Linked DNA regions of Stegostoma tigrinum. The main gene of each other region encodes a partner of the protein of the gene in region 2 in a complex. Links are inferred from orthologs where the notes say so. Each region holds a gene or a part of one and is shown on either strand. Other genes may lie near its edges.

Region 1 (3,919 bases), on a different chromosome or scaffold from region 2:
ACTCCCCCACTTCTGAAGGAGAGTCTAGGCCTGAAACGTCAGCTTTCCTGCTCCTCTGATGCTGCTTGGCCTGCTGTGTTCATCCAGCTCTACACCTTGTCATCCCCCCATACCAGAGATCATCCTACTGAACCTTCTCTGAACTGTCTCCAATGAAACAATATCCTTCCTTACATAAAGGGTCCAAAACTGCTCACAGCACTCCAGATGTGGTCTCACCCCACACCGTATAAAGTTGCATTAACTTCCCTACTCTGTTCCTCCAACCCACCCTGAAATTGAATGAGACTATTTGAGCTTAATCTGTCTTTTACTGAATAAAAAACCAAAAGATCTGTGGATGCTGTGTATCTTTCACGCAGCTGTGCTGGCTACCTTTAAGAATTAATTGAGGATAGAGATTTAATACGTATGGATGTTTACCCAACACGAATCCTGCAACATTCCAGAAAGGCATTAGAAGCGTCGGCCGAACTCTGTGATCAACTATCAATTCATTAAATTTCTCCAGATGTTCCTTTTCTTGATCCCACATTTGCTGAAACATGAATATTAATTTCAGTTAATTTACTGCACCATTGATATCAATTATCGAGCACATTAATCTGCTGTCCATTAGGATGTTTATTGATTAATAAAGGGATCAGGGATTATGGGGAAAAGACAGGAGAATGAGCTTGAGAAGTGTATTAGCCATGATCGAATGGTGGACTGGACTTGATGGGCTGAATCGCCTAATTCTGCTCCTATATTTTGTGGTTTTAGAGCAAGTCCCTACTGTGTATTTTAAACAAACATTTTTTCTTCACATTTCAACTTTTCCTTTCCCAGAAATAGTAAGATTTTCTGTTATTGTAGAAATCAATGAGAAATCTATCTTTAATTTAGTGACAAAACTAGTCATAATCAATATAATACTTCGTCCTAGTTTAATAAAACAGATGACCAATGAGGTAACTTCAGTTGGACGGGAAAGTGAAAATATAAACCTTCTATTCGAGAAGGGAGGTAGAAAACAGAAAAAAGTAGGCCAGTAAATTTGATGTCTGTAAAGAGGAAGCTATTAGAATTGATCATTTAGGAGGTTAAAACTGGGCAAATGGAAAAATTCAATGTAATCAGGAAAAATCTTAATAGTTTTACTGGAATTCTCTGAAGCAGTAACATGTTCCATGGTCAAGGGGAGTCCTACTGATATACTTGATTTTCTTGAGAGCATCTGATAACATTCTATACAAAAGATTTTGCACAAAGGAGGATCTCATGGTATAGGAAGTAACATATTGGTATGGATAGAAAATTGGCCAGCTGGCAGAAAACAGACAGGATGCATAAATTCTTTTTTTCAGATCGGCAACACATGCGATCCCACAAGGGTCTGCGCTGCGACCTCAGTTTTTTTAAAAAAATTGATGTCAATTACTTCATTGAGGGGATTGGCTAAAATTGATGACAAAGACAGGTAGGAAAGAATACAGTGAAGATGATATAACAAGGATACAGGCTGATGTAAACAAGTTGAGTGAGGTCAAAAATCTGAGAGAAAGTTGTTTCACTTTGGCAGGAGGAATAAAATAGCACAGCATGACATGAATGGGAAACAACTGCAGAATTCTGAGTAGAAGAGGGTCTTCAAGTGCATGAATCAGAGAAAATTAATTTGCAATTACAGCATTTAATCAGGAAAATAAATTGGATATTGAAATTTATCACCACAGGAAATAGATGGAAAATTAAAGATGTTAATGCTTCAGTTATACAGGACATTGGTGAGACCATATTTCAAATACTGAGTGCAGTTTTGGTCTTCCTCATAAGGAAGTATGTAAATGTTTTGGAGAGGGTTTGTTGAACCTTTATTAGATTGATAGTTGGAATGAGCAGATTTTTTAATGCCAAAAGTTTGGACAGGCTGGAGTTATTTTCACTGGAGTTTAGAAGGCCGAAGGGAATTCAATCAAAGCGTATAAGACTGACAGGTCTTGACAAAGTGGGTGAGGAAATGATGTTTGATCTTGTGGGTCAGTGCAGAAGCAGGGAGTGCTGTTTCGAATTAGGGGTCACCCTTTTATGACAGAGAGAGGAGTTTGTGCAACTTTGGAAATTTCTGCTCCAGAAGACAGAGTCATTGTACATTTGTAAGGTGGAAGAAGTTAGATTCTTGTTGGGAAAGTGATTCTAAGGTAATCCAGGGTTAGTGCAGCAACCTTGAGGGGCCAAATATCTTACTTCTGCACCTCATTTGTACAAATAAAAGCAAGTGGCTGTCACAGCAAAATTTCACCACCACATTCCCAGTGCTGCCTGTAGTTTCTATGGCACCCAGAGTCTTCGGTTCCATATTACAAAGTGAAGAGTGTTCCTCTCCTTCAGGTCCAACCTGTGGGGTGGTGTAAACGTAGCGCATTGGCTGCTTCATCGACTCTGGGAGAGAACGGGGCCTTGGAAAGATCATACAAGGACAGACTTTTGAAAATTCTTTTGTAAAGCAGTTTCAGATGCAGCAATTCAGTTTAAAAGAAGATGTGATTTGCTCTAAGTAAATTCCTGTGAAATGTAGAGGGAGGTTGCTGACTAAATGATGTGTAAACATTTAGCTGCTAACACGGGTTATTGTCAATGCCAGTCTGCCAGGAACCTACAGCATTTCTCTCACACTCTGTGGTAAATACCTGGATGATAGGCCCCACGGGGCTGCGGCCCAGCACGGCCATCTGCCCGGCATAGATGCGGTTAGCCCCGTACTCCCCGGCGTGATCCACTCGGATGATCCGGCCCAGCATCGCCCTCTCGGCCGAGCCGCTCAGGGCCCTAGCGGCCTTCAGCCCAGGCCAGGGACTCGGCTGGAGGGGCTGCAGGGGAGGCCTGGCATTCCTCAGTAGCGACGGCGAGCAGAGGGCGGACACTCCAAGCCGAACGCAGGCTCCGGTCTTCGCCATCCCGCAGGCCGCCCCGGGCTGAACGAAAGGGGGCGGGGAGACAGCCACACTGAGCCCCGCCCCTTCAGCAGGACCCCACCCCACCACGGCGACCACGCCCCCACAGCTAGGCCCCGCCCCCTCACCGGGAAACGTCCCACATGGTCGAGCCCCGCCCCATCACCGGGACCACGCCTCATAGGCAATGGGAACTGCAAATGCTGGAGAACGCCAGGTAACAAGGTGGAGAGCTGGATGAACACAGCAGGACAAGCAGCATCAGAGGAGCAGGAAACATGCTGCTTGGTCAGAGATAATGGGAACTGCAGTTGCTGGAGAATCCAAGATAATAAAGTGTGAAGGGTCTAGGCCCGAAACGTCAGCTTTTGTGCTCCTGAGATGCTGCTGGGCCTGCTGTGTTCATCCAGCTCCACATTTCATTATCTTGGATTCCCCAGCATCTGCAGTTCCCATTATCACTTCATAATCTTATATGTTTCTGTAAGATCTCCCCTCATTCTTCTGAATTCCAATGAGCATAATCCCAGTCTATTCAGTCTTTCCTCATAATCCAACCCTCTCAACTCTGGAATCAACTGAGTGAATCTCTTCTGCACCTCCCCCAGTGCTATATATCTCTCCTCAAGTAAGGAGACCAAAACTGCACACAGTACTCCAGGTGTGGCCTCACCAGGACCCTATACAGCTGCAGCATTGCCTCCCTGTTTTTAAACTCCATCCCTTCAGCAAAGGCAGTCAAAATTCCATTTGCCTTTTTAATTGTCTGCTGCACCTGCAATCCCGCCTTCAGCAATTTGTGCACAAGGACACTCAAGTCCCTTTGCACAGCTACTCCATCTACCAGACCTTTGCCCACTCACTCAGACTATATACTCCTTTGTAGACTTCCAGTGTCTACTGCACACTTTGCTCAACCACTCACCTTAGTGTCACCTGCAAATTTTGACACACCATAGTTAGACCCCAACTCTAAATCATCT
Region 2 (3,919 bases):
CCCAATCGAAATGTTGTTGTAGTTGTCCACAGAACATGGTGCTACAACAAATACCTGCAAAAGTAATTGATGGTGGAGAATCGATCTGATACTTGAAATAAAATTAGAAGGAGAAATCAAGTTAAGATGTCAGTGTCCACGTTGGAACTGGTGAAAGGACATCAGCCTGAAAAATTGACTTTGTCTATTCATAGATGCTGCCAGACCTGCCACCCAGCATTTCTGTAGTTTTTTACATATATCTCTATACAGTTATACATGTATACATACTAACAGGCATAGATAATGACATTGTTGTCTGCTGTGCAAAATTAATGCAGGCATTACTATTTCCAAATAAATTCTGGCCTCCATTCTCCCCTCTATCATCCTAATTTGCTCAGAGCCCTATTTCTCCCATTACACCATGCTTGCTGTTCTACATTGCTTGAGTTATTGCAGTATTCTCATTTTAACATTCTTGCACATATCTATGTGTTTAGTTATCTCTGTGGCCTCAATCTTCTTCGGTTCTATAATCCTCAGATATTTGCGCTCTCATAAAACTGCTCTCCTCTGTATCCCTGATTACACTCATTGTTATTGTTTTAATTACTTTGGAAACCCATGTGAAGAGCTTTGTTTTACATGAAATGTGTTGTCTAAGTACAAGTTGATGATTGCCAATGAAGTGAACACAACTCAGGCTGGGCAGCTCCAAGGATCTAGGCCTGAAACGTCAGCTTTTGTGCTCCTAAGATGCTGCTTGGCCTGCTGTGTTCATCCAGCTTCACACTTTGTTATCTCTGTACTATTGGTTGAAACTCCTCTCCTGTTGTCTATTCAACGTACATTGACTTTATTGAGAGATAATGGGAACTGCATATGCTAGATAATCGGAGATAACAAAGTGTGGGGCTGGATGAACACAGCAGGCCAAACAGCATCAGAGGAGCAGGAAAGCTGACGTTTCGGGCCGACACCATTCATCAGAAATGGGGGTTCTGAAACAAATAGGGAGAGAGGGGGAGGTGGACCGAAGATGGACAGAGGAGGGTAATTTCTTCAGGGTAGGCATCCTTAGAAGAGGCTTTGCAGTGGATTGTTGACAGTTTCTGTTTTATTTGCAAATTTGAGTTGGAACATTAGTTTGCCTGAAATAACCTATGCAAGTGATCCTATGGTTGAGAGGGTCAGGACTGTACGGGGTTCTCAGATTAAAAACACCAGCTCAATGGACATGGATAGTTGGTAATGACAGAGGCATTGGCAGAGCTGAGACCTGGACATTGTTGCGCCTGCTCTTTGACCCAGACACTCTCCCTGCCCCGTCCCCTGACGTTGCGCCTGCGCAGTGAGGAGGCGGCGGTGCTGGAGTACGAGCGGTGCCGTTGTTAGGGAGCTGCCGCTGCTTGTGGCTCTGTTGTGGGACGATGCTGAGGAGTAGGGCCCGGGGCCTGGCCCTGAATCTGTCCCGGGGCCTGCACGGACTGTCAGGCCGCGGCGGGAGGCTCAGCCCGGGCTTGCGGCTGGCATCAGGTTCGGTGCGGACTGCAGCCACGGTCTCAGCCGGTAAGTGATCCCGGGCCCTGAGCTGGGGCGGCGGTAGGACTGAGGGCCGCTCTCACCGGGTTTGTACTTTTTTAGGTCTCGGGGAGGGAGTGAGTCCAGAGGCAGGCGCCCGGGAGCAGGAGGCCGTCCACAGCCGCCGATATCAAAGCCACATCCCCAGCAGCCGGCTCCAGAAACTGCTGCTGGCCTCAGGATCCGCTCTCATGGCCTTGTACAACCCGTACCGGCACGGTAAGATCCCACCGACAGCAACACACTCATATCCTGGACCTTATCCGTCACCCTGGGGAGGGTCAAGGTCACCCTGGATCAACTGAGCGGGATCAGAGTTGTCCTAGATTCACTAGGAAGGGTCAGGGGCACATTGAGGAGGTTCAGTGTCACACTGGAGCCACTGGGGATGATCAGAATCAAACTGGATTCACTGCACTGTCAGCCTGTGTTTTTGTATTCAAGCCCCGGAGTTAATCCTAGCTGAAAGGACTGCTGTCTTGTAGTTTAATTGTGTAGCATTTATGACGTGAAGCCAGTTTGTGATTTGATTTGATTTGATTTATTGTCATGTGTACCTTAGTACAGTCAAAAGCTATGTTTACAAGCAGTACAGGTAGATCATAGTAAGCAAGGATGTGCAGATCATAAGAGTGAAAAAAAAATTGGACAGAGGCATACAGGCACAGGGTGAGTGCTAGGCAACATCAACCTTAACAAGATAAACATTATGTGAAGTTGGAGAGGTCCGCTCACCAGTCTTAATAACATCTGGGAAGAAGCTGTTCTTGAATCTGCTGGTGTGTGTTCAAGCTTCTGCATCTTCTGCCTGATGGAAGAGGTTAGAGAGCACTGATGGGGTGGGATCGGTCTTTGATGTTGGCTGCGTTTCTGCGGCAACGAGTTGTGTAGATGGAGTCCATGGATGGAAGGTTGGCTTCAGTCATGGTCGGGGCTGTGCACACCACCTTCTGTAGTTTCTTACAGTTCTGGGCGAAGCAGTTGCCGTAGCAGGCCGTTATACACGGGACAGTAAGCTTTCAATGGGGCATCTCTGGAAGTTGGTGAGGGACCTTATGGACGTGCCAACTTTCCTGAGCCACATGAGGAAGAAAAGACATTGTTGTGCCTTCTTGACTGTTGCATCTACATAGGAAGTCCAGGACAGATTGTCGGTTATCATCACTCCTAGGAACTTGACACTCCCAACCCTGTCAATCCCAGTTCCGTTGATGTAGATGCAGAGGGGTGTCCTTTTTTTCTGAAGTCAATGATCAGTTCTTTGGTTTTGCCAACAGTGAGAGAGAGATTGTTCTCATTGCACCACGTAACAAAGCCCTCCGTCTCTTTTCTGTATTCTGCCTCGTCATTGTTTGATATCCATCCTGCCATGGTCTGGGCCTTTTTACTCAAATTTGCTCTCTTTTCTTCTTGTTGCAGATATGGTGGCTGTACTGGGAGAAACAACAGGGCTACTGGCAATCCAAAAGCTGCGAGACAGGATGCAAAACCATCCTGAGGGATTCCAGATTCTGCAGTAAGTGCAGCTGCAGTATTCATGCTGGAGTAGAGGCAGTGATAACTGGTAAAAGGAGCCGGTTGCTTGAATTTGATCTTGATAAAGTAAAAAGGAGGATAGCTGAAATAAAGGCAGAAGATGCTGTGAATACAGGGGCAGAGGGCGTGACACTGTGGGCAGAGATAAAGGGGTTAGAGGGTGGGTCACTGGAGGTGGCAGTGGTGTGGGGTAATGTCACCAAGCCAGTAATTCAGAGCTCCAGTCTCATGCTCTTAGAATATGGGTTCAAATCTCTACCGTGGCAAATGTTGAAATCTGAATTTATTACAGTCTTGAATTGAGTGACAGTCTAATGGTGACGATATAGTTGCTGGGCTGAAAAATCTGTCTGGCTCTTTAATGTCCTTTAGGGAAGGAAATCTATCATACTTATCTGATCTGGCCCACGTGACTCCAGACTCTCAGCAATATTACCATCTAGCCAAGAAGCAAACCTAGTTCAGTGGAGAGTGCACAAAGCCTGGACCAGCACCAGGCATACCTAAAAGAGAGTTGTCGGCCTGGTGAAACTATCAAACAGGACTGCATGCATGCCAAACAGCAGTGATAGACAAAGCTTAGCGATTCCACAACTGATGGATTAGATCTAAGCTCTGCAGTCCTGCCACATTCAGTCGGGAATGGTGGTGGACAATTTAACAACTCACTGGAGGAGAAGTCTTCACAAATTTTCCAAACTTCAACGTGGAAGGGCCCAGCACATCAGAGCAAAAGATAAGACTGAAGTGTTTGCAACAATCGTCAGCCAGAAGTGCTGAGTGGATGATCCATCTCTGCCTTCTCGGTAGTCCCTAGCTA

The links.
Region 1: coq4 (region 2) and coq7 share a complex: the UniProt entries of both Homo sapiens proteins name them as parts of the multi-subunit COQ enzyme complex. The link is inferred for Stegostoma tigrinum from reciprocal best matches to the Homo sapiens genes COQ4 and COQ7.

Annotation. Positions count from the first base shown.
Region 1 is NC_081376.1:54,706,900-54,710,818, forward strand, and holds the start of coq7 (5-demethoxyubiquinone hydroxylase, mitochondrial), read right to left. Parts: upstream 2,994-3,919; 5' UTR 2,940-2,993; coding exon 2,673-2,939; intron 539-2,672; coding exon 424-538; intron 1-423. UniProt on the Homo sapiens protein: Catalyzes the hydroxylation of the 5-methoxy-2-methyl-3-(all-trans-polyprenyl)benzoquinone at the C6 position and participates in the biosynthesis of ubiquinone.
Region 2 is NC_081382.1:2,449,671-2,453,589, reverse strand, and holds the start of coq4 (ubiquinone biosynthesis protein COQ4 homolog, mitochondrial), read left to right. Parts: upstream 1-1,315; 5' UTR 1,316-1,412; coding exon 1,413-1,551; intron 1,552-1,626; coding exon 1,627-1,782; intron 1,783-2,982; coding exon 2,983-3,079; intron 3,080-3,919. UniProt on the Homo sapiens protein: Lyase that catalyzes the C1-decarboxylation of 4-hydroxy-3-methoxy-5-(all-trans-decaprenyl)benzoic acid into 2-methoxy-6-(all-trans-decaprenyl)phenol during ubiquinone biosynthesis.